Canis lupus familiaris: one gene and its partners. The protein of the gene in region 1 interacts with the protein of each later gene in a pairwise test. Links are inferred from orthologs where the notes say so. Each region holds a gene or a part of one and is shown in the gene's direction. Other genes may lie near its edges.

Evidence for each region.
Region 2: the proteins of TRAF3IP1 (region 1) and KIF5A interact in a two-hybrid assay, tested with the Homo sapiens proteins (2 studies listed by IntAct). The link is inferred for Canis lupus familiaris from reciprocal best matches to the Homo sapiens genes TRAF3IP1 and KIF5A.
Region 3: the proteins of TRAF3IP1 (region 1) and SMC3 interact in a two-hybrid assay, tested with the Homo sapiens proteins (2 studies listed by BioGRID and IntAct). The link is inferred for Canis lupus familiaris from reciprocal best matches to the Homo sapiens genes TRAF3IP1 and SMC3.
Region 4: the proteins of TRAF3IP1 (region 1) and SMC2 interact in a two-hybrid assay, tested with the Homo sapiens proteins (2 studies listed by BioGRID and IntAct). The link is inferred for Canis lupus familiaris from reciprocal best matches to the Homo sapiens genes TRAF3IP1 and SMC2.

Annotation. Positions count from the first base shown.
Region 1 is NC_049246.1:49,086,812-49,092,038, forward strand, and holds part of TRAF3IP1 (TRAF3-interacting protein 1), read left to right. Parts: intron 1-1,319; coding exon 1,320-1,396; intron 1,397-2,692; coding exon 2,693-2,752; intron 2,753-5,227.
Region 2 is NC_049231.1:1,999,776-2,005,002, forward strand, and holds part of KIF5A (kinesin heavy chain), read left to right. Parts: intron 1-3,200; coding exon 3,201-3,288; intron 3,289-3,398; coding exon 3,399-3,472; intron 3,473-3,869; coding exon 3,870-3,974; intron 3,975-4,196; coding exon 4,197-4,245; intron 4,246-4,860; coding exon 4,861-4,916; intron 4,917-5,151; coding exon 5,152-5,227. UniProt on the Homo sapiens protein: Microtubule-dependent motor required for slow axonal transport of neurofilament proteins (NFH, NFM and NFL). Can induce formation of neurite-like membrane protrusions in non-neuronal cells in a ZFYVE27-dependent manner.
Region 3 is NC_049249.1:22,129,993-22,135,219, forward strand, and holds part of SMC3 (structural maintenance of chromosomes protein 3), read left to right. Parts: intron 1-374; coding exon 375-550; intron 551-1,563; coding exon 1,564-1,644; intron 1,645-1,870; coding exon 1,871-2,035; intron 2,036-2,337; coding exon 2,338-2,459; intron 2,460-3,790; coding exon 3,791-4,004; intron 4,005-5,227. UniProt on the Homo sapiens protein: Central component of cohesin, a complex required for chromosome cohesion during the cell cycle. The cohesin complex may form a large proteinaceous ring within which sister chromatids can be trapped.
Region 4 is NC_049232.1:60,449,569-60,454,795, forward strand, and holds part of SMC2 (structural maintenance of chromosomes protein 2), read left to right. Parts: intron 1-9; coding exon 10-159; intron 160-2,405; coding exon 2,406-2,528; intron 2,529-3,934; coding exon 3,935-3,973; intron 3,974-5,227. UniProt on the Homo sapiens protein: Central component of the condensin complex, a complex required for conversion of interphase chromatin into mitotic-like condense chromosomes.

The DNA of each region.
Region 1 (5,227 bases):
TGGAACCCTCCATTTCCCCAAGGAGCCTGGCTGCGTGTTGCTTCTGGGTTGGTCATTGTTTTCAGGGGTTTTCTTGCCTTTTTTTTTCTAATGAGAAAATATATCCAAGTTCATACTGGTATTTCCAACGCAGCTTTACTATACTAGAGTCTTTCCTAAATTTTTGATATTATACGTACGTGTCTATCTCATGCCCCAAATCCTGGCTCCCAACGTCGCCATCTGTTTGCCTTACCCTATGGCATGCACACGGCATCTTTAGACCACCACCACCGGTCACTAGCAACAACAATGACTGAAAACACTATCGGGTGTTTCTTGGGAGGTCAGGTCTGTCTGTTCTCAGGTTATGTCCCATCAGGGATGGACAGCCAACCACTCTGTTGCAAAGTTACAAAGCAATTCTTTGTTAGGCTGTGCTTGCCAGTTTGATATTATTAGGTGTATTAGTTTCATTTTGGTTTCAATTTTTAGGCATTGAAAAATCTGATTTTATTTATGTAAAATAATACATTTCTGAGGTGAAATGTACCAAACAATGTATATTCTGAGATTGGGGCCTCCACCTGCCCTCTCCCTGTAGGTAATGGTAAGACATATGGCTTATACTTTGATTTAAAAAACTGTAAGTTAGTACATGTGCCTGGAGTGTGTGTGTGCATTTAGCAGTATCTGCGTGTCTCTGTCTTGCTGTTGTGACTTGGCATCGTGTGTTGGCGTTCGTCCCCGAGCAGCGCAGACAAGTCATCCTCACTGCTGCTCACAGCTGAGCCCTCCTCTGCCATCCGGGTGCTTCGGGGCGTATGCAGCCAATTTCATATGGATGTGCATTTGCATGAGACAGTATTCTAAAGAAAATGTTTTGTATGATATTTACCCCCATGGGCAATTTTTTTTTTTTTTAAAGGAAGTTGAAGGCTCTTGAACTAATATAAAAGGAGTATTTGTGCTTAGAAACAGCTCAGAGTTGGCACACCTGTTTGTGGCAAGGTGGCTATATGTTTGAATGTCCATCTACGTGTCCTCATAATTCTTTTCTGTTTCCAATGTTTTTTTTTTTTTTTTTTTACCTTTGAGGAGCTGATTTCTTTGAAACACTCTGAAGTTTTTTTTTTTTTCACTCTGAAGTTTTATAGTTAATTTCTACCACCAGCTGTATTAGACTATTGTAGACTCCAAGCAAATAAAGATGATTTGAAGCCATGTAGAATATAGATAGAAAGAGGAAAAACAAGAAACTAGTGTTCTTGCCTCCCCTCTGCCCATTTAGAATAGAAGAGCTCTTTAGAGAATAACATAAAATCACTGATTCTCAACAGGAGGACTTGTGAAAAAAATTCTGGAGACCAAGAAAGATTATGAGAAGTTACAGCGGTCACCCAGACCTGGAGAGAAGGTAAGAAGTGATGCCTGCAAATGTGCTCATCAGCAGAGTCCGCTGACACACTTTAAAGCTCCCCGCTCCACCTCCTCCTTGGTTGGGAGGATAGAAAATTCTGGGCTCCTCTGGCGTGTCCTGGGTGGGGGCTCAGGAATCAAGGCCAAGGGCCTGTTCTGCTCTGATCCCGTGGCTGTCCCCTTCCTGCCTCGTCCAGTCCCTCTCCCTGCTTGCAGAGTCGGGAGGCTGGCCGCCTGGCCCTGGCTGCCTCCACACTAAGAGACCAGGGAGTTTTCAAGTCTGGCTTTTAAATCCAGGTGCTGCTTATCCCTGGCCTGCCAGCTGTCTTTCTTGCAGCTGTGGGATGTTGTTTGTTGGGACCCGCAGCTCCTGGCCAGCCACCGCCCCTGAGCATATGACCCTGGGGCAAATACTTGCCAGCCACATAGTAGGCCTCAAATGTCACAGCTACGTTTCTGTTATAGTCACTTTAAAAAATAAGAATGTATCTTCACTTACTGGTTTTGTAACAGAAAGATGTTTCTTGGATAGTTTCAGCAGCAGCCAACAATTCCAGGAAGTTTTACACACATGCACAGATAATTCTGCCTCAGATGTCCGGGTTTGTAATGACGATGTGGCTTGAAACAGCAGGGAGGGGACTCTGCAGTTGATAGCCACCTCAGGGGGGCCCCGGAACAGTCCCAGGAGAAGAGTGCTCCCCGGGGCTCTATCCACGGCAGCACCGTTGGCTCCTCTGAAAGAAGAATGGTCTTTCTGTGGTCCATTGTCTGTGCTGTGAAATTTTCATGTCATAGGCCTTTTCACAGGCCCGAGGGGCTGTCCTGGTGTCCCTGGCAGTGTTTCTGGGACCCAGTCGGAAACCGTGAGTGTGTCCCTCCAGGCTGTTAATGTAGGCAACCTTTGAAGCTTCAGTTGGTTTAAATTTTATAGCCCTGTTTGCTATGCGATGCACACAAGGTCTGTGCTTTAGGCTTTCGTCTGAAGAGTAAATTTCAGAGTACATACTTTGACTTTAGAAGATAAAAGGGAAAAATGTCCTTGAGTGGTGAACATTTGCTGCTTTAGAAAAGTACAGCTAATAAGTGCTTCAGAATCGGGGTGATGTGTATTGCAGACAGGGAACAAGGAGGCTGCTCTGCTCTGTTTTCCGTAGTACGCTCATAAACATCAGATTTAAATTTCACTGATTGGTCTTCTGAAAAGAGCTTAGAGTTTTAAAATAAAAGCAATTGAAACGTACAGGAAAAGTTGATGTTTTTTCTGCCTCTGCCCCAACCCCACTGTCCGTAGGGCAGCCACAGGGACGAACTTGGTGTGAGCCATACTTTAAACGCAGCTGCCTCTGCTCGGGTGAGTTTTCAGTGCTGCCCTGTTGCTGGCATGTGACGCAGATTGCTTTCTTTGGGCACCATTAAGTTCTGAGACCCTCCCTGTGTGGATACCTGGGGGTCTAGTTCAGTCGTCTTAATTGATGACTGGTATTCCAGTATTTGTTCGTTAATTCCTTTAATGGTGGACATAGGTTTCGTCAGCCTTCCACAGTTATAAACTCTGACGAACTCCTTTCATGTGTCTCCTGGCATGCAGATGCCAGTGTCTCTCGGAGCACCAGTCGGCAAACATTTTCTGAGAAGGGCCAGATAGTAAATATTTTAGGCTGATGAGCCGCGTACAGTCTGTTGCAGCTTCTCAGCTCTGCTGATGTAGCCTGAAAGCAGCCCTGGTGTAGACAGCAGTAAACCATGTGTGTGGCTGTGTTCCAGTAAAGCTTTATTCACAACAACAGGACCCAGCCTGGGGCTGGAGTTTGCGATCCTGCTTTAGAGTCTGTGTCCACGCTCAGAATTGCTGTGCCAGAGCACGTACAGAGCTTCGATTTCACCAGGTGCTGCCAAATTAGTCCTCTAAGTGGCTGTCCCCAGGTACTGTCCCAGTGGAACAAGAGTCTTCCACGTGTGCACCGTCCACAGGCAGCATGGTCAACTTGTGCATCCCCCTCCCCACCCCACCCTGCAGTGGCCCATGCCCTGCAGGCCTATGGGGTCCCTCCCAGCCACCTCCCGCCAGGGCCCAGCAGCTGCTCCTCTGCATTTGGCCACTGTGGTTGGTGTTTCCCAGAACTGCAGTTGAGTGGAGTCAGAGGGCATGTGCTCCTGCTTGGCCTGGCTTCTTTCAGTCATCACAATTATTTTGAGATCTGTTTTTCAGCAGGCATCAACAGTTCATTTCTTTTTATTGCTGGGTAGTGCACTGTCTGGATGCACCACAGTGTGTGTATCCATCTGTCAGGTCATGAGTGTTTGGGTCATTTCTAGTTTGGGTCTCTTGCAGGTAAAACTGTGGAGAACATTCACGTACGAGTTCCACGTGGACAAACACTTTGATTCCTTTGGGTAAATACCGAGGAGCAAGACCGCTGGCTCACATAGTCAGCGTATATTGATCTTTCCAAGAAACTGCCCAGTGTTTTCCAAAGTGGTTGTACCACTTATGTTTTCACCACGGCCTGTGAGAGTTTCGGTTTTTTCCTGTCCGCATCAGTGCTTGGAACAGTCACATTCTTTGTGTTTAATATGCATTTCCTTAATGGCTGATTATGATTCGGTCGTGACTGCTGATTCCTTCTCTTGGCTCTTTTCTTAGTATTGAAGTCTCCGTGTTACTAGCTTTTCTGATCATTTGAGCTAATCCTTTCTCTTTGCTTTACAAGTCAGTTTCTTGAATGGGTATATTCCGTTTTTCTATTTCTTTTGGAATTCAGAGATCTACAGCATTAGTGGCTTAAATGAGGTGGTAGGTGCTTTAGCTCACAACTCAGAGTCTGCAGGTGGTTGTGGCCCATGTGTGACCCTGTGCCTTAGGGCACCTCGTGGTCCAAGGAGGCTGTCCAGGTCCATCCAGCAGGAAGGAGGGAAGGGGAAGAAGAGAAAGAGAGGAACATGCCTCTTTCCTTCTAGACTATTTCTCGGAAGTTGTACGTACTACTTCCACTTAGGTGATACTGGCCAGATCTTTGCCAATAAGGGACAGTGAAGTGAAATCCTTACTCCAGGCATCAGTTTGCTTAGGTAACAATCGGGTTCCACACAGACTAGAGTTTGCCAAATTTTCTCGCTGCCTGGCATGTGCAGAAAATGATATTTGCAAGGCACGTGGGTGAGCGGAGGAAGCTGGCTGCCTGGCTGGGGGCCGAGGGTTTCTGGAAGCAGCACATCTCCCACATGTGGGCTGCACACAGGGCAGGAAGCTTGGCTGTGGGAGGGGGAGCAGAAACCAATGTCCGGGCCGTGCCCTCCCCATCCTTTCTCCAGGGAACTGTTTTGTTCATGTTTTACAAAGTCATGGCATAAGGATGTTTCAACTATGCTTTTATGATTTAAAAAATATATCTATAGTTTTCTTTTTCTTCCAAAAATTTTGTCTTTTCTTTTCTTTGATGAGACTTTAAAGAAACTATTGAAAAAAAAAAAAGAAACTATTGAAATATGCACCCTCTAGCAAAGACAGCTTCTGGTTTTGCAGATACTCACTTCTGTTTTCATTTCATTGATTTCTCCTCTTCTTATTTTTCCTTTTAATTTCTTTGGTTATTTACGTTTTTAGTCTCTTGTGTAAAATACTTAGTTCATTTATTTTTAGTCTTTGCCATTTGAAATGAATATTCTTAGGGCTATTCATTTCTTTTAAAATTTTAAAATTAATTTTAGAGAGAATGCACTTGAGCAAGGGGGAGGGACAGAGGAAGGGAGGGAGAGAGAGAGAATCCAAGCTGACTCCATGCTGAGTGGAGCCCGACACAGGTCTTGATCCCATGACCCTGAGGTC
Region 2 (5,227 bases), on another chromosome or scaffold:
CATGGGGATGGGGCTGGACTGTGGGGCTGCATCCCAGGACCCTGAGATCATGACCTGAGCTAAACTCAGATTGAGTCACCCAGGCACCCCTTAACATGTTTTTCTAAGCAAGGTGTACCTATACATTTTTTTTTAAAACAGAAATGGAATCATCCTTTTTGCATTTGTTTTTTACACTGCATACTATCTTATGTATTTATTTTTTGCATAGTATTTTTTAATTTTTTAAAAAAATTTTATTTATTTATGATAGTCACAGAGAGAGAGAGAGAGGCAGAGACATAGGCAGAGGGAGAAGCAGGCTCCATGCACCGGGAGCCCGACGTGGGACTCGATCCTGGGTCTCCAGGATCGTGCCCTGGGCCAAAGGCAGGCGCCAAACCGCTGCGCCACCCAGAGATCCCTTTGCATAGTATTTTTTGAAGATTCTATTTATTTATTCATGAGAGACACAGAGAGAAGCAGAGACATAGGCAGAGGGAGAAGCAGGCTCCCTGCAGGGAGCCTGATGTGGGACTCGATCCCCAGGACTCCAGCATCACGCCCTGAGCCAGAAGGCAGATGCTTAACCACTGAGCTATCCAAGCGTCCCTGCATAGTATTTTAAAAACTACTTTTTTGCCTGACAGTATTTTGTGTATACCTTGTCTTGTCATTACATATTATCTTATGACATCATCTATAACATTTTACATTTTTAAATTTAAAAATGATATGTTGTCACTGTAAGACATTTAAATATCACAGAAAAGTATTGCAGGCGTAAGCTACTGTTATTCTGCTCTCAAGTGATAACCACCATTAGCAGGTCTCTATACAGCCTTCCATTTCCTTTTTCTAAGGCTATTCTGTCCATATGCTTTTAAAAAGATATAATCACTTTACACACACTGTTTTTACTTTTTCACTAAATTGAGCTTGAACATGTCAGAACATGTAAACCACCCTAACTCTTTTTAATGGGAGTAGAATATGGAACTATCATAACCAACATCTTGTTAATGAGTGTTTGAATTATTTCTAGTTTTACTTTAATACAGATTGAACATCCTTCTACATAGATCTTTAAGTGCTTGAGTAAGGGCTGTAAAATGAATTCCTAGCACTGGACTCACTGATACAGAGTACAAACAGAATGGACATTTAAATATTTAATAGAATTGTCCTCCAGAAAGACTCTATCAGTTTACAGTACTCCCTCCATTGGAGAGCATCTTCACAACTTATTTCTCTTTGTGGATTCCGGTTTTGGGGTTTCAAAGGCTTTTACCAAAGAGAGATCAGACAAATATTTCAGGTAGATTTTTTTTTCCCCATAAGCCAGACTTTTCAAATCTCTTAAATATTAAAAAAATATATCTACTAGTTTTCCTTTATGCAACGAAGTAAAACAAAGGAAACAAAATGAAACACACATTAAGAAATTAAGAAAAAATACTTGTACATGGTTTAAAAATAGAAACAATCCAAGGGCACTGGCTGGCTTGGTCAGAAGAGCATGCAATTCTTCATTTCGAGGCTGTGAGTTTGAGCCCCCCCTTGGATGTAGAGATTATTAAGTAAAATAAAACTTAAAAATTTAAAAATATATGTAAGTGGGACACCTGGGTGGCTCGGTGTTGAGCATCTGCCTTTGAATCAGGGTGTGATCCTGGCATCCCGGGATCAAATCCCATATTTGGCTTCTGCATGGAGCCTGCTTCTCCCTCTGCCTGTGTCTCTGCTTGTCTCTCTCTGTGTCTCTCATGAATAAATAAATAAAATCTTTTAAAATGTGTGTGTGTGTGTATACACACACACATATATATGCAAGCCAAGATACAAAATGTAAAATAAGGGATCCCTGGGTGGCGCAGCGGTTTAGCGCCTGCCTTTGGCCCAGGGCGCGATCCTGGAGACCCGAGATCGAGTCCCACATCAGGCTCCCGGTGCATGGAGCCTGCTTCTCCCTCTGCCTGTGTCTCTGCCTCTCTCTCTCTCTCTCTCTCTCTCTCTCTGTGTGACTATCATAAATAAATAAAAATTTTAAAAAATGTAAAATAAAAGACTTGTCTCTCTTCAAAGTAATCATTGTTAACATTTTTTGTATAATTCCTTCTAGAAAAAAGTTCTATGTATAGATGGAATATTATGAATATTCCTAGAGCCGTTATCTCCAGCTCTGACCAATTAAAATTTTATGACTTCCTTAATTAGTTGAAACATGTCTCCCCAACTCTGGTGACCATAGACCTAGGAGCTTTACATTTCAGTTGGATAAAGATGGGGTCTATAGTAAAACAACTTGACAACTAAGTCATAATCTCTTTATACTGAATGGCAGGAAAACATGACTGAGAAATTTGTCATTTGTGATGGAGAACAAGCATAGTCTTATTTAATCTTACCAGAAAAAAAATCTTACCAGAGATCTGCACTTTAGTATGATTACATAGTGAATATATTCTTTGTTTGGTTCCCCAGGTTTTAAATATTTTGTATCTTTAGCATGCTTGTTAGCACATGATTTGTAACATAACCTAAATGAAACAAAGTACTTGTAGGTCAGTAATTTGTTTCAGTATCTCTTTGCTAAAAGGAGGCCCATGATTCTGATTTCATATATTTCTTTCACGGAGAGAGAGCTTGTGTTAATGTTTGAACAACAGCTCAGCATCTTGGTGTACCTGTATTTCATTTACACAATAGGGAACATAACCGACATGTGCCCCTAACTTTGCATCTTTCATTTAATGCATCTTGAAGATTCGTCCGCATCAGGACATATGCATCTATTGAGGAAGATATTTTTAAACCTAGAGGTAGATTTTTAATGTTAATGAATTGTCTTTCACTCTTCACGGCCTGCGGCCCTACTGTCTTTTCCCATTGGTTTCCCAGGGAAAGGCCTGGAGTGGTGCAGTACTAAGTCATCACACCAAGACTGAGATCCCCTCACACAGTCTGAGGCTGTGACACTTCTCAATGGTGCTCTCTAGCGCACAGGAACAGCTCCTGGTGTCAGCACCAACTTTTGCTCCTCTTTGTCTGGTTTCCTTCATCCCGCCCCCCCCCCCCCCCCCCCCCCCCGCCCCAAACTGTCCGTGGATATAGATGGCTGAAAAACAGGTACCTTCTCAGGCTAATGGAAGGGGGCTGCAGCATTTCTTCTTCCTCATTTCCTGACTCCTGATGTCTGCCATGTTTTATTTCCATTCTAGGGGAAGCCATATGTCTTTGACCGTGTGTTCCCCCCAAACACGACTCAGGAGCAAGTTTATCATGCGTGTGCCATGCAGATTGTCAAAGGTAGCATGTATTATCTTTGTAAGATGTATTTTTAGAATGTATATTTTCTGGTTCCCCATTCCCTACTCCACTTCTTTCCACCAATGCTCTTTCTTGGCTATGTCTTCCAGATGTCCTTGCTGGCTACAATGGCACCATTTTTGCTTATGGACAGACATCCTCAGGGAAAACACATACCATGGAGGTGAGGGCTCTGACTTTCATGAGGGGTGAGGAACTGTGAGTGTTAATGAGAGGCCAAGGAATCTCAGGCAAGATCTAGGAATCAAGCTTGCTTGGTCTGGAGGATGAACTGAGGGGCAGGATTATAATGGAAGCTTGGTGAAATCCCTCTAGCCTGCTGCAGTTTCCCATCCTTTCCACTACTCCAGTTTGCTTCTTTTGATCCAGAAAAGCAGCTGCAATAAAGGTCCAAAGGGACCCTCAGTTCTCTCCTTGTTCTCGGTAGACATGGCAGTGACTGCCTTGTACCTTCAGATGATCCTCTCATCAACTATCACCTTCATGTTCACCTGTTGACCTCTTGGGTGGCCTCATTGTTTTGAGTTCCAGTCTCAGTCTCAGATACTCTTCCTCTCCAGGGAAAGCTGCATGACCCCCAGCTGATGGGAATCATTCCTCGAATTGCCCGAGACATCTTCAATCACATCTACTCCATGGATGAGAACCTGGAGTTCCATATCAAGGTGATCACGGTTTAACAGCTGGGTGTCGTCAGAGAGGGACTAGGAGGAGAAGAGCTAGTATGAACTCATTGAGAACCTGGGCACCCCAACTTATTTTCCTGCCCTGCTTACCACAGTTCTTCTGCTCTATTTCTCTTCCTCCTACTGGTTGAGTGGGTCACATTCACTTGAGATCCCTATATCAGACTTATGATAGGCCCTCTTCACTTTCTCCCTGACCAGGTTTCTTACTTTGAGATTTACCTGGACAAAATTCGCGACCTTCTGGATGGTGAGTGGTGTTTAGCCCCATTGGATGGGCAGGGGTGGGAGGAGAGCAAGGAAAAGAAAGATCACATTGTTCTTGGCAAGAGATGCAGAGGAATCACACACTCATACCCCTGTCCCTTGCCTCCATTCACCAAAATTTCTAAAAGCAAAAAGGGTCAGAAGATGAGCTGAAATACCTAGGCCTATATAGAAACACCCTGAGACCAGCTGGAACCTTAAGGCTAGAATCCTGGAGGAGGAGAAATTTAAGCTTTCAGGGTGTGGGGATTTAAGCTTGATGGGAAAGTCTTTCTCCTTTTTAAAAATTTAATTTATTTGTTTGTTTGTTTGAAAGAGGGAGAGGGAGAGAGGACACAAGTTGGGGGTAGGGGGGGCAGCAAAGGGAGACAGACAAACAGACTCCGCACTGAGTGCAGAGCCTGAAATGGGGCTCGATCTCATAACCCTGAGATCATAACCTGAACCGAAATCAAGAGTTGGATGCTTAACCAACTGCACCACCCAGGAGAGGGCTTCTTTTTTGCATGTAGAAGAAACCACTGTCTCAGCAGACTATAGGGTACGGGGTTGGGGGTGGAAGTGCTAGCCTTGCTTACTCTGCATTGTTTTGATTCAGTGACCAAGACAAATCTGTCTGTGCATGAGGACAAGAATCGGGTGCCATTTGTCAAGGTGAGTGTGGGGACAGGGGTACCTGGGTGTGGGTCACTGTACTAAGAGTACAGGAGGGTAGGCCAGAGGCCCAGAAGCTGGAGGGCAGATGTTTTGGAGGAGTGAGATGTGCCGAGGGGCTGGGGAGAGTCTGAGGGCTTGGAAAAGACATTCTTAAAAGGTCATCTGATCAGTTTTCAGGTAATATAATTTGCAGATTGCCGTTTATGGGTCACTCTCCCTTTGAACCCTGCAGGGTTGTACTGAACGCTTTGTGTCCAGCCCAGAGGAGATTTTAGATGTGATTGACGAGGGGAAATCAAATCGTCATG
Region 3 (5,227 bases), on another chromosome or scaffold:
ATTCCACTTACATTTGGAATCTTAAACCAAGCAAACAAACAAAACAGAAACGGACTCATAAATACAGAGAACAAACTGGTGGTTGCCAGGGTGGTGGTGGTGCAGGGGGAAGATGGGTGAAATAGATGAAAGGGGAGAAGAGGGGAAAAACTTAGAGTTATAAAATTAAAAAGTGTCACCATGTGTAACTTTATTCTCTGATGCTTTTCATAATAAAGCATCGTGTCATTTTAGTATCTTAGATTTGGTTGTCACATACTATCATATTAAGCTATAGTTCTTAAGATTAATTTTAACTCCTAGCATATTTGAAGAAAATTATTTACATAAAAGTTTTATTCAACTTCTTCGCCCCTCTCTCATTTCTTTTTAAGAGGGTAAACGGGAAAAAATCAATGAGTTGTTAAAATACATTGAAGAGAGATTACATACCTTAGAGGAAGAAAAGGAAGAACTAGCTCAGTATCAGAAGTGGGATAAAATGAGACGAGCCTTGGAATATACCATTTACAACCAGGAACTTAACGAGACTCGTGCTAAACTTGATGAGGTAAAAGAACTTTGTCACTTAAATTCAGAGAGATTTTAGTTTGTTTTATATGTTAAGCTCATTTTATATTTCTATTTTTCAATGATTTTTAAATAGAAACTTAAAGAATTTTAAACCTCTTAGTGAAATCATTGGTCAGTAAAATTGTTCGTTCAGTTTCGTTCAGTTTATTCCAAGGAAAGTCCTTAGACCTGTATGGTCCTTGCTATAGTTGTGTCTGAAATATAATCAGGTGGTGGTGCAGTGCAAACCAAGATGAGGGAAGCCACCTTTAAAAGCTTCATGAAAAAAAAAAAAAAGGAAAAAAAAATAAAAGCTTCATGAAGGGGTGCCTGGCTGGCTCAGTCAGTGGAATATGGGACTCTTGGTACTAGGGTCATGAGTTTAAGCCCCATGTTGGGGGTGGAGTTTACTTTATAAAAAAAAAAAGCTTCGGGGATCCCTGGGTGGCGCAGCGATTTAGCGCCTGCCTTTGGCCCAGGGCGTGATCCTGGAGACCCGGGATCGAATCCCACGTCAGGCTCCCGGTGCATGGAGCCTGCTTCTCCCTCTGCCTGTGTCTCTGCCTCTCCTTCTGCCTGTGTCTCTGCCTCTCTCTCTCTCTCTCTGTGTGACTATCATAAATAAATAAAAATTAAAAAAAAAAAAAGCTTCATGAATTTTTTTTGGGCTTTTTAGTATGTATTTTTGTTGTTTCTCCCTCTGCCTATGCCTCTCTGTGTCTCTCGTGAATAAATAAAATCTTAAAAAAAAAGTATTTTGTAATTAGTATTGCTGATTTTTTTTTTTTTTTTTGTATTGCCAACCTTTTGTCCAAAAATTTGTTAATTTGTTTTAGGTAATATTTAAAACTATAGGAGCTTTCCATTTAAAACTACTAAAAAAAAAAAAATAATAAATAAAAGCCTCTTCAAGTGAATGATTTTATTTTAGCAGATATTTTAAAATTCTGCTACGTTATGACATATTAAATACAAAGTGAGTTAGAACTTACAGCTTTTTGTCCCCCTCAGCTTTCTGCTAAGCGAGAGACTAGTGGAGAAAAATCCAGACAATTAAGAGATGCCCAGCAGGATGCAAGAGATAAGATGGAGGTAAGATTATAAACGAGGCTTATGTTGACTTACATTTTTTGACCACAGTAAATCCTTTTGTACCAGAATTAGGGAGTGGAAACTTCAAACAGGTGTTACTGGGATTGAGTATTAGAAAGACAGAATAGTACTGAACTTGTAAATGAAGGGAAAAAAGGACAGAACTAATAGAAACTCTGCTGTTCCACTTCTAATTGTTTGATTCATTTGTTTGATACTTGACTAGGATATTGAGCGCCAAGTTAGAGAATTGAAAACAAAAATTTCAGCTATGAAAGAAGAAAAGGAGCAGCTCAGCGCTGAAAGGCAAGAACAAATTAAGCAGAGGACTAAGTTGGAGCTTAAAGCCAAAGATTTACAAGATGAACTGGCAGGCAATAGTGAACAAAGGGTAAGTTAAAATGCTAAAAATGAAAGACTTATAAATGTTAAAGCTGAATAGGAATTGCAAAAGACCATGCCTTCTGTCATGGGGGTACATGATTTTAAATTTTTGAAAAAGATCTGGCACATTAAAATAATTTCTACTCATGTAGCAGCTCAGTACTGTGTCCTGTTTCTTTCATTTAAAAGTTAGTTTTGTGTTGCAGGATCAGTTTTCTCATCAATTTTTTTTCATGAGAAAATATTTTATGCTAGACTTAAGCAGAAATTTTTAAGATTGCATTTTTACTTACCCTGCTTTATTTACAGAAACGCTTATTAAAAGAGAGGCAGAAGCTACTTGAAAAAATAGAAGAGAAGCAGAAAGAACTGGCAGAAACAGAACCTAAATTCAACAGTGTGAAAGAAAAAGAAGAGCGAGGAATTGCTAGGTCTGGGATTTCTTTTACCATTTCTAACTTTCTATGTAGTTTTTCTGTGAAAGCTAAATAGTTATGAATTAAGACACAGAGCAAAAGTTAAATCCAGTTTCAAAGTAATAGTCTATGTTAAACAGCTACTGTGGGCCAAGCATTACTGTATATACATCATATACATTTTTTTCACTCAGAAGCCCTAAGAGATTCACATCCTCAGTGTAAGTTCAACAAACTCAAGGCTCTGGTACGTTAAATAACTTGCCTAGATGTTGGGCTTTTGAAAACATGGATTTGTTGTTCTTTTTTTTTTTTTTATTAAACCAACATAACATCTTGCTCTGTTTCACCCTTTTTCCTTTTTTCATTGTTGTTTTAACATCTGGACATTTTAGTGTCTGTAAATTGAACATGACAACTTTGCTGATTTCATGGTTTAGTGCATTATGTTTTTATGCTACCAGTATCTGTTTTAGTAAATTATTTCCTTTGCCCATTTTTGTCTGATACTTTTCCTATTGTTTGATTAGGGTTGTTTGTAATCTGTATTTATTCTAGTATTCTATATATTGTAAATGTTTTGTCTTTCTCTTGCCCTTTTTTTTTTTTTTTTTTTTAAGACTTTATTTATTCATGAGAGAGACAGAGAGAGAGAGGCAGAGACACAGAGGGAGAAGTCCAATGCGGGACTCAGTCCCGGGTCTCCAGGATCACCCCCTGGGTCAAAGGCAGCGCTAAACCGCTGTGCCACCTGGGCTGCCCTTTCTCTTGCCTTTTAACCTTGGTAGTATCATTTATTGTAAGGAGTTAGAAATGTCTATATAGTTAAATGCATTTTGAAAATTCCTGAGAGTAGTAGGATATTAGAACTGTCTCTAGCTTTACTAACCCAGACCTGGAGTAGAAATAAAGACATTATGTGCCTGAAATCCTTAGGATATGGGCTATTTTACATGACTTTAAATGTGACTTTTCAAAATAAAATTTATAGGGACGCCTGGGTGGCTCAGCGGTTGAGCCTTTGGCTCAGGGCATGATCCCAGAGTCCCGGGATCGAGTCTTGCATTGGGCTCCCTGCATGGAGCCTGCTTCACCCTCTGCCTGTGTCTCTGCCTCTCTTTCTCTCTCTGTCTCTTGTGAATAAATAAAATATTTTTTAAAAATAAAATGAAATTTATATTATTTAGTACTAGTCCAAGGAGCTGTATTAGATACCAGTTGCTTTTGTTTTTTTAATGGAATTTTAAAAATGACTATTGTTTCTGTGTGCTCTTGACATATCAATTGCAGTTTAAATTTATTTTCTCATCTCTTTTTTAATCATTCTTTTCTTCTGTCTTGTATAGATTGGCCCAAGCTACCCAGGAAAGAACAGATCTTTATGCAAAGCAGGGTCGAGGAAGCCAGTTTACATCAAAAGAAGAAAGAGATAAGTGGATTAAAAAGGAACTGAAGTCTTTAGATCAGGCTATTAATGACAAGAAAAGACAGATTGCGGCTATCCACAAGGATTTGGAGGACACTGAGGCAAATAAAGAGAAAAACCTGGAGCAGTATAATGTAAGAGCTTTTATAGCTACTTTGTGAAAACCTTTCAGAAGACATAAACATGTACATGTTGCCTATTTCATTAAGTTTTACTTTGTTGAACAGTTACATTGCTACTCTTAATTTACAGAAAACAGGTACTTAGAAAAGATTAGCCCAATTTAATATCTATATGGTAGTTTTTTTTCCAGCTCTATAAGAGTTCGTATACATTGAGTATATCTTAAAATATATTTTTATAAATTGGTGGAATGTTCCTGAAGTACCTTTAATTTTAACATGATAAATCTAAAATATAACTTCAGAGTAACTTAAATTTTTTTCCATTTTTACAATCTTTCACAGTTCTCTGTCAATAACTTATACAGAATATATTTTTTGTTAAGGCAGTGGTGATTTTATAAGATTTTCTAAATGAATTAAACATTAGCTACTATGCATGTTTGGTAGCATTTTCTAAAAAATGGAAGTAGAAGATAAAATCCCATCTAGAATAAGAAAGATCTCACATTATTTAAAATGAGAAAGAGGGAAAATGGTAAGTGTTATGTGTGGCTGTATATAGGTGATTGAAGGCCTATAGAAATGATGAGAAAGGGAGTGTGTAGGACAAGTGTAGGGTGAGGATGTTCTATATGTATCTACACAGAGGAACCCTGTTAACTTATGAGATCTGCACCAGTTGGTTATTGGTTTATCAAAAAGCCACTAAATGCATAAAATCTTGACATAGGTAAGATGTATATTAAAATTTTATGTATAATAGTAAATATTATTTATATACATGTAAACATAACATATCTTATTTTGCTTATAAAGATAAAGGTATGCTCATGGACTGGGCTTTTCATTTTTTAAGAGCAGTGTTGGGTTCACAGCAAAATTGGGAGGAAGATACAGAAGTTTCCTATATATCTTGTACCCCCACAAATGCATAGCTTCCCCCATTATCAGTACCCCCCCACCAGAATTCATACCAGTCTTTTCATGTAGAGCCCAAGATGTTTCTTTTGAGTATGAGTAGTTTCCAGGGGACTTTTTTGTTACGAGCCACGCATGTAAGTATAGTTCTCCTTAGAGCTGAATGAAACTTCCAAGATTCAATCTAGGGTCATATATTATATTTAGTTGTCATATTTCTGTTATCTTTTGTAATCTGGATCAGTTCCCTAGTCTAACTTTGTGATTTGACATTTTGAATTACTGTATTTTGTTAATAAAGTACATATTACATA
Region 4 (5,227 bases), on another chromosome or scaffold:
TTGTTTTAGGTTCGGGCTTCTAACTTACAAGATTTAGTTTACAAAAACGGGCAGGCTGGTATCACCAAAGCCTCAGTGTCAATCACATTTGATAATTCTGACAAAAAGCAAAGTCCTTTAGGATTTGAGGTTCATGATGAAATAACAGTAACAAGGCAGGTGAGTGGCTACAAAATATTTGGATACTTAAGAACTTATATCTGACCTGTTTTTTTGGCAATATGACTTTACTGGCAAAGTTGATGAGCAAATTGATCAAATAGACTCGACCTCTTAAGAATGTCTTCCTTATTTTAAAAATTTGATCATGCAAATTCCACCATTTACCAAGAGGATTGAAAGGGATCTGGAAACCTGTCAGTCGGTACAGGCACTCAGCTGTGCTTAAATCTTGAACGGTATTTGAGTCTTCTCTGCTGGGATACCTATACTTGGGATCTTGTTACCTTCTGAGGTAATCTACTCTGTTATTGGGCAGGTCTAATTAAAAAGTTATTTCTATAAAGTGAGCCAAAGTATTATCATCAAGTTTTACATATTAAATCTGGTTCTTTGAGATCATAATCCATATTTTAATATTTCGGTTTAATATTGAGGTGTTAAATATTTAAGCTAAATCTTTCTAGGTCTTTCAACTGATAAAATTGTTTCTATTTCCTTCACTTGTCTGATTCCACTGAATACAAATTTGCGCTAGGTTTTTTTTGCCTTTATTTCATGCATGGCGCCTTAAATTGCATTTACGAGGATTAGTCTCCTTAGGACAGGATTAAGCAGAATTGTCACTTCATTTTAAGTGCGATTCTCTTTTCCCCTATATGACATTGGAGAGTTCAAAATACATTATGAATTCATATCCAACTTACTTAAAAATCACCGTAATTTTTAAAATGTGTATTAGCTGTGTTACTACCATTTCTATTTGTAAGAAGGTTTTTGAAACCAGTGCAGGACCAGACCTTTGTCCCTTTATCTTGTTATAGTCATACAATGTTCCTTTGTCAGTTTTATTTTTAAAAATTCTGTTAAGTCCTGTTTACTCTCTATGTTAGCATTATGTAGCTTGTAGATTCTGCTTTCTTTTTTAATAAAAACCTTAAGAAAAAATAAGGCATTGACTAGGTTGGGATAAAATCCTGTTCTGTGTCATTAAGCATCCATCAGATACCTTTTAGGAATTTTCATAAGTCTTCTACTAATCTACCTAAAATTCCTGTCCTCATGCAGTCCATATGCCTTTATTTTCACCAAAATTTTGTTATAGGGATTTTTAAAAAATATTTATGTATACTAGATTTCTTGTTTAAATATATTAATATATGATCTATTAGCTTAATACTCCTGTCAAGAAAAGAAATGAATTAACACTCATCCAGTAGTTTGCTGTGTGCTGGGCATTCTTAAAGGCACTGGGAAATACAGAGAGAAAAATGAGCAACATCTTTTTAAGGACCTCAAAATACTGAGGATGACATGATTATGTCCATTAAGTGACAGTATAAGGGCTATAGTACAGTGTGAACAAGCTGGTGTCTGGTAGAAGTTGTTCTTTGAAGCTCTATGGTTACTCTTTTTCTTTCAAGAATTCAAAAGTCATGTCTTTATTAACTCCTTTTAGAATCTCTCAAGGATTGTTATCAAACTGCTTATCTTTGGGGCATTTGGGTGGCCCAGTCGGTTAAGCATCTGACTATTGATTAGGGGTCGTGATCTCAAAGTTGGGAGATTGAGCCCCCTTGTCGGTCTCCCTGATGGGCATGAGGCCTGCTTAAGAGTCTCTCCCTTTCCTCTTAAAAAAGAACTGCTTGTCTTTAGTTTTTAGTATCTACGTTCTGTTCTTTGGAAATTAAAAAGTGGAGGAAAGAAGGGTTAACCTCTGAGGGTGGAAAAATTACAGAGAATGATCATGTGTAGAATATGAAAGACTCCTAACTCTGAGAAAAGAACTAGGGGTGGTGGAAGGGGAGGTGAGCGGGGGGTGGGGGTGACTGGGTGGTGGGCACTGAGGTGGGCACTTGATGGGATGAGCACTGGGTGTTATTCTGTATGTTGACAAATTGAACACCAATAAAAAATAAATTTATTAAAAGAAAAAAAAAAGAATATCGTTTCACATGTACTTGAAAACAAAGTCAGAAGTGACCTTAGAGATCTAGTCCAATGCAGGGGAGGTTAGGAGGATTGTGCTTGGTTATATAATCCAAAAGTCCTTGGATTAGAAGTCGGTTATCTTGATTCAATCTATAGTCTTTTGACCACCTCCTACTTCCTCCATTATTTACTTAGGATTGGTTTTATTTACCATTTGTTGGACAGAAGAAACAAGTGAAACATATTTGGGAATTTGTCATTTTAGTTCAAGATACGTGTGTTCATTTATATTTTTAAAAATACTTCCCTTTTAGGTGGTTATTGGTGGTAGAAATAAATATTTAATCAATGGAGTAAATGCAAACAATTCCAGAGTACAAGATCTCTTCTGTTCTGTTGGCCTTAATGTAAACAACCCTCACTTTCTCATCATGCAGGTATTTTGTTTATGGTCTTTATATAATAGTTTTGACATCGTTTATTTTAATAGGACAAGTGTTTCATTTTGGCTTTTCCATTTTTTATTTTCTGTTGCACTGGTATTTGGGTACCTGTTAAGAAGTATGTGTTAGTTATGTGTATTGATATATTCTAACATACACATTTGAAGTTTAAAGAATGTCTAGAAGTAATTTTCTTTGACTTATTTTGTTATTACAAGAATAATACATGGTCACTATAAGAATGTATTTATTTATTTTTAAAGATTTTATTTATTTATTAATGAGAGACACAGAGAGAAGCAGAGACACAGAGGGAGAAGCAGGCTCCATGCAGGGAGCGTGATGCGGGACTCGATCCTGGGACTCCAAGATCATGCTCTGGGCTGAAGGCAGGTGCTAAACCGCTGAGCCACCCAGGGATCCCCTATAAGAATTATTTAAAGTATATTGTCATAATGTATTCTTTCAGAGTATTGGGTTGAAGCATTTTATTATTTCAAATATATATTAAATTTTAAGTAATTTCCTTCCTGAGAGACTTACTCAAATGAAAAATAAGTGCTAATATTTTCTTGCCCTTATATTATCTCACTCGACTTATCCGCAAGGTCAATGGCATGATCCTGATGTGACCAAAATAACTTTATTTTTACTACATCACAGCCTTAAAGCTTAAAATTTATTTTAAATGAATCTAAATCCTTGGGATGCCTGCGTGGCTCAGTGGTTGAGCGTCTGCCTTTGATTCCGGGTGATCCCAGATTCCTGGGATGGAGTCCCACTTTAGGCTCCCTGAATGGAGCCTGCTTCTCCTCCCTCTGTCTGTGTTTCTGCCTCTCTCTCTCTGTTTCTATCATGAATAAATAAAATCTTTAAAAAAAATAATCTAAATCCTAAGTAATATGATGCTCTGAGACTTAGGTAGTGGGGTTTTGTCTTGTTTTTTTTTTTTTTTTTGGTAGCGATATTCTGGCATTGAAATAAAAGATTTTACGATTCTTTTTGAGGCTCACAAATGTGCAGTCTATTTCTAGAAATTATCTTGGAGTGTAGCCTTTAAAAAAAGACGTGTTAAACAATTATGCTAAAATTTATATATTTATATACTTATTGGACACTTTTATATCATTAATGTTGCCTCAGAAATACGGTCTGAGTTAATTTCATATTTTTTAATAACCATATCACTGGTAAGTGAAAAGGTAATTGGCAAAATTATGGAATTATAAGGTACCTTTGGTCTCAAATATAATAAAAGAAACATCTTTTCATGTAGATTAAAGAAAGAACTCCTTAAAGATTGGTATATTAGGATGGAACAGCTTCAGTGAAGATAAACATGTATGCCTTTAGGTAGGTGATTAATTTATCATTATAGTAACTGCCATTTTATTTTTCAGGGCCGAATTACCAAAGTATTGAATATGAAACCTCCAGAGGTAAGGATGCTATTTGTGGACAGTAAAAATTATAATTGTGAATAGTGTTTTAATCTTTTAAATCAATTTTTAAAAATTTCTTCCATTAAAATTCTTAGAAACATTATTGATTTAAAAGTGGCTAGTAAAGAATTTTTTTTTTAAAACTATTTGGCAAAAAAATAAAAAAATAAAAAAAAAATAAAACTATTTGGCGCTATACCTCCCTACCCATTTTTTTATTTGTTTGTTTTTTTTTTTAAGATTATATTTATTCTTGAGAGACAGACAGAGAAGCAGAGACATAGGTAGAGGGAGAAGCAGGCTCCTTGGGAGCCTGATGCAGGACTTGATCCTAGGAGTCCTGGGTCACGACCTGAGCCAAAGGCAGATGCTCAACTACTGAGCCACCCAGGTGCCCTACCACTTCACCTTTTTAAAGTTGTATAACATAACCCTTCTGATCCTTTGTTTCTTTATCCATAAATTAGAGTTAGTAGTCCATACCTCATGTCTTTTCTGAGGATTAAATGAGGATGTATAAGAAAATGCCTGGGACATTGGGGCGCAGATATTTTTTTTTTTTTTTTTTTTAATAGAGGTAGAAGTGGCATATTAGTTGGTATGCGATGTAGTGATTAAACATATGTAGATGTTGCAAAATGATCCTTACAAATCTAGTTAACATCCATAACCAGTTACAATTTTCTTTTTCTTAGGATAACTTTTAAGATTTACTCTCCTAGTAACTTTCAAATATATAATACAGTATTATTAATTATGGTCCTCATGCTGTAACATGGTGACTACCATGTATATCCCCAGGACTTTTATAACTGAGAGGTTGTACCTTTTCACCTGGACCTATTTTGCCCACCCACTAACTCCCATCTTTGGTAACCATGAATATGTTCTCTATAAGCTCAGGGTTTTTTTTTTTCTTTTTTTCTTTTTAGATTCCGCATATAGGTTATATGGTATTTGTCTTTCTCTGACTTATTTCACTTAGCATAATGCCCTCAAATTCTATCCACATTGTCACAAATAGCAAAATTGCATTCTTTTTTAAATAGCTTTATTATATGCCATTGTGTATATATGTATATATGTCACATCTTTTTATTCATTTATCTGTCAGTGGACACTTAGGTTGTTTCCATGTCTTGGTATTGTAAATGAGGGTGCTGATACCTTTTCAAGTTAGTACCTTTGTTTTCTTTGGATAAATAGCCAGAATGGAATTGCTGGATTACATGGTAGTTATATTTTTAGTTT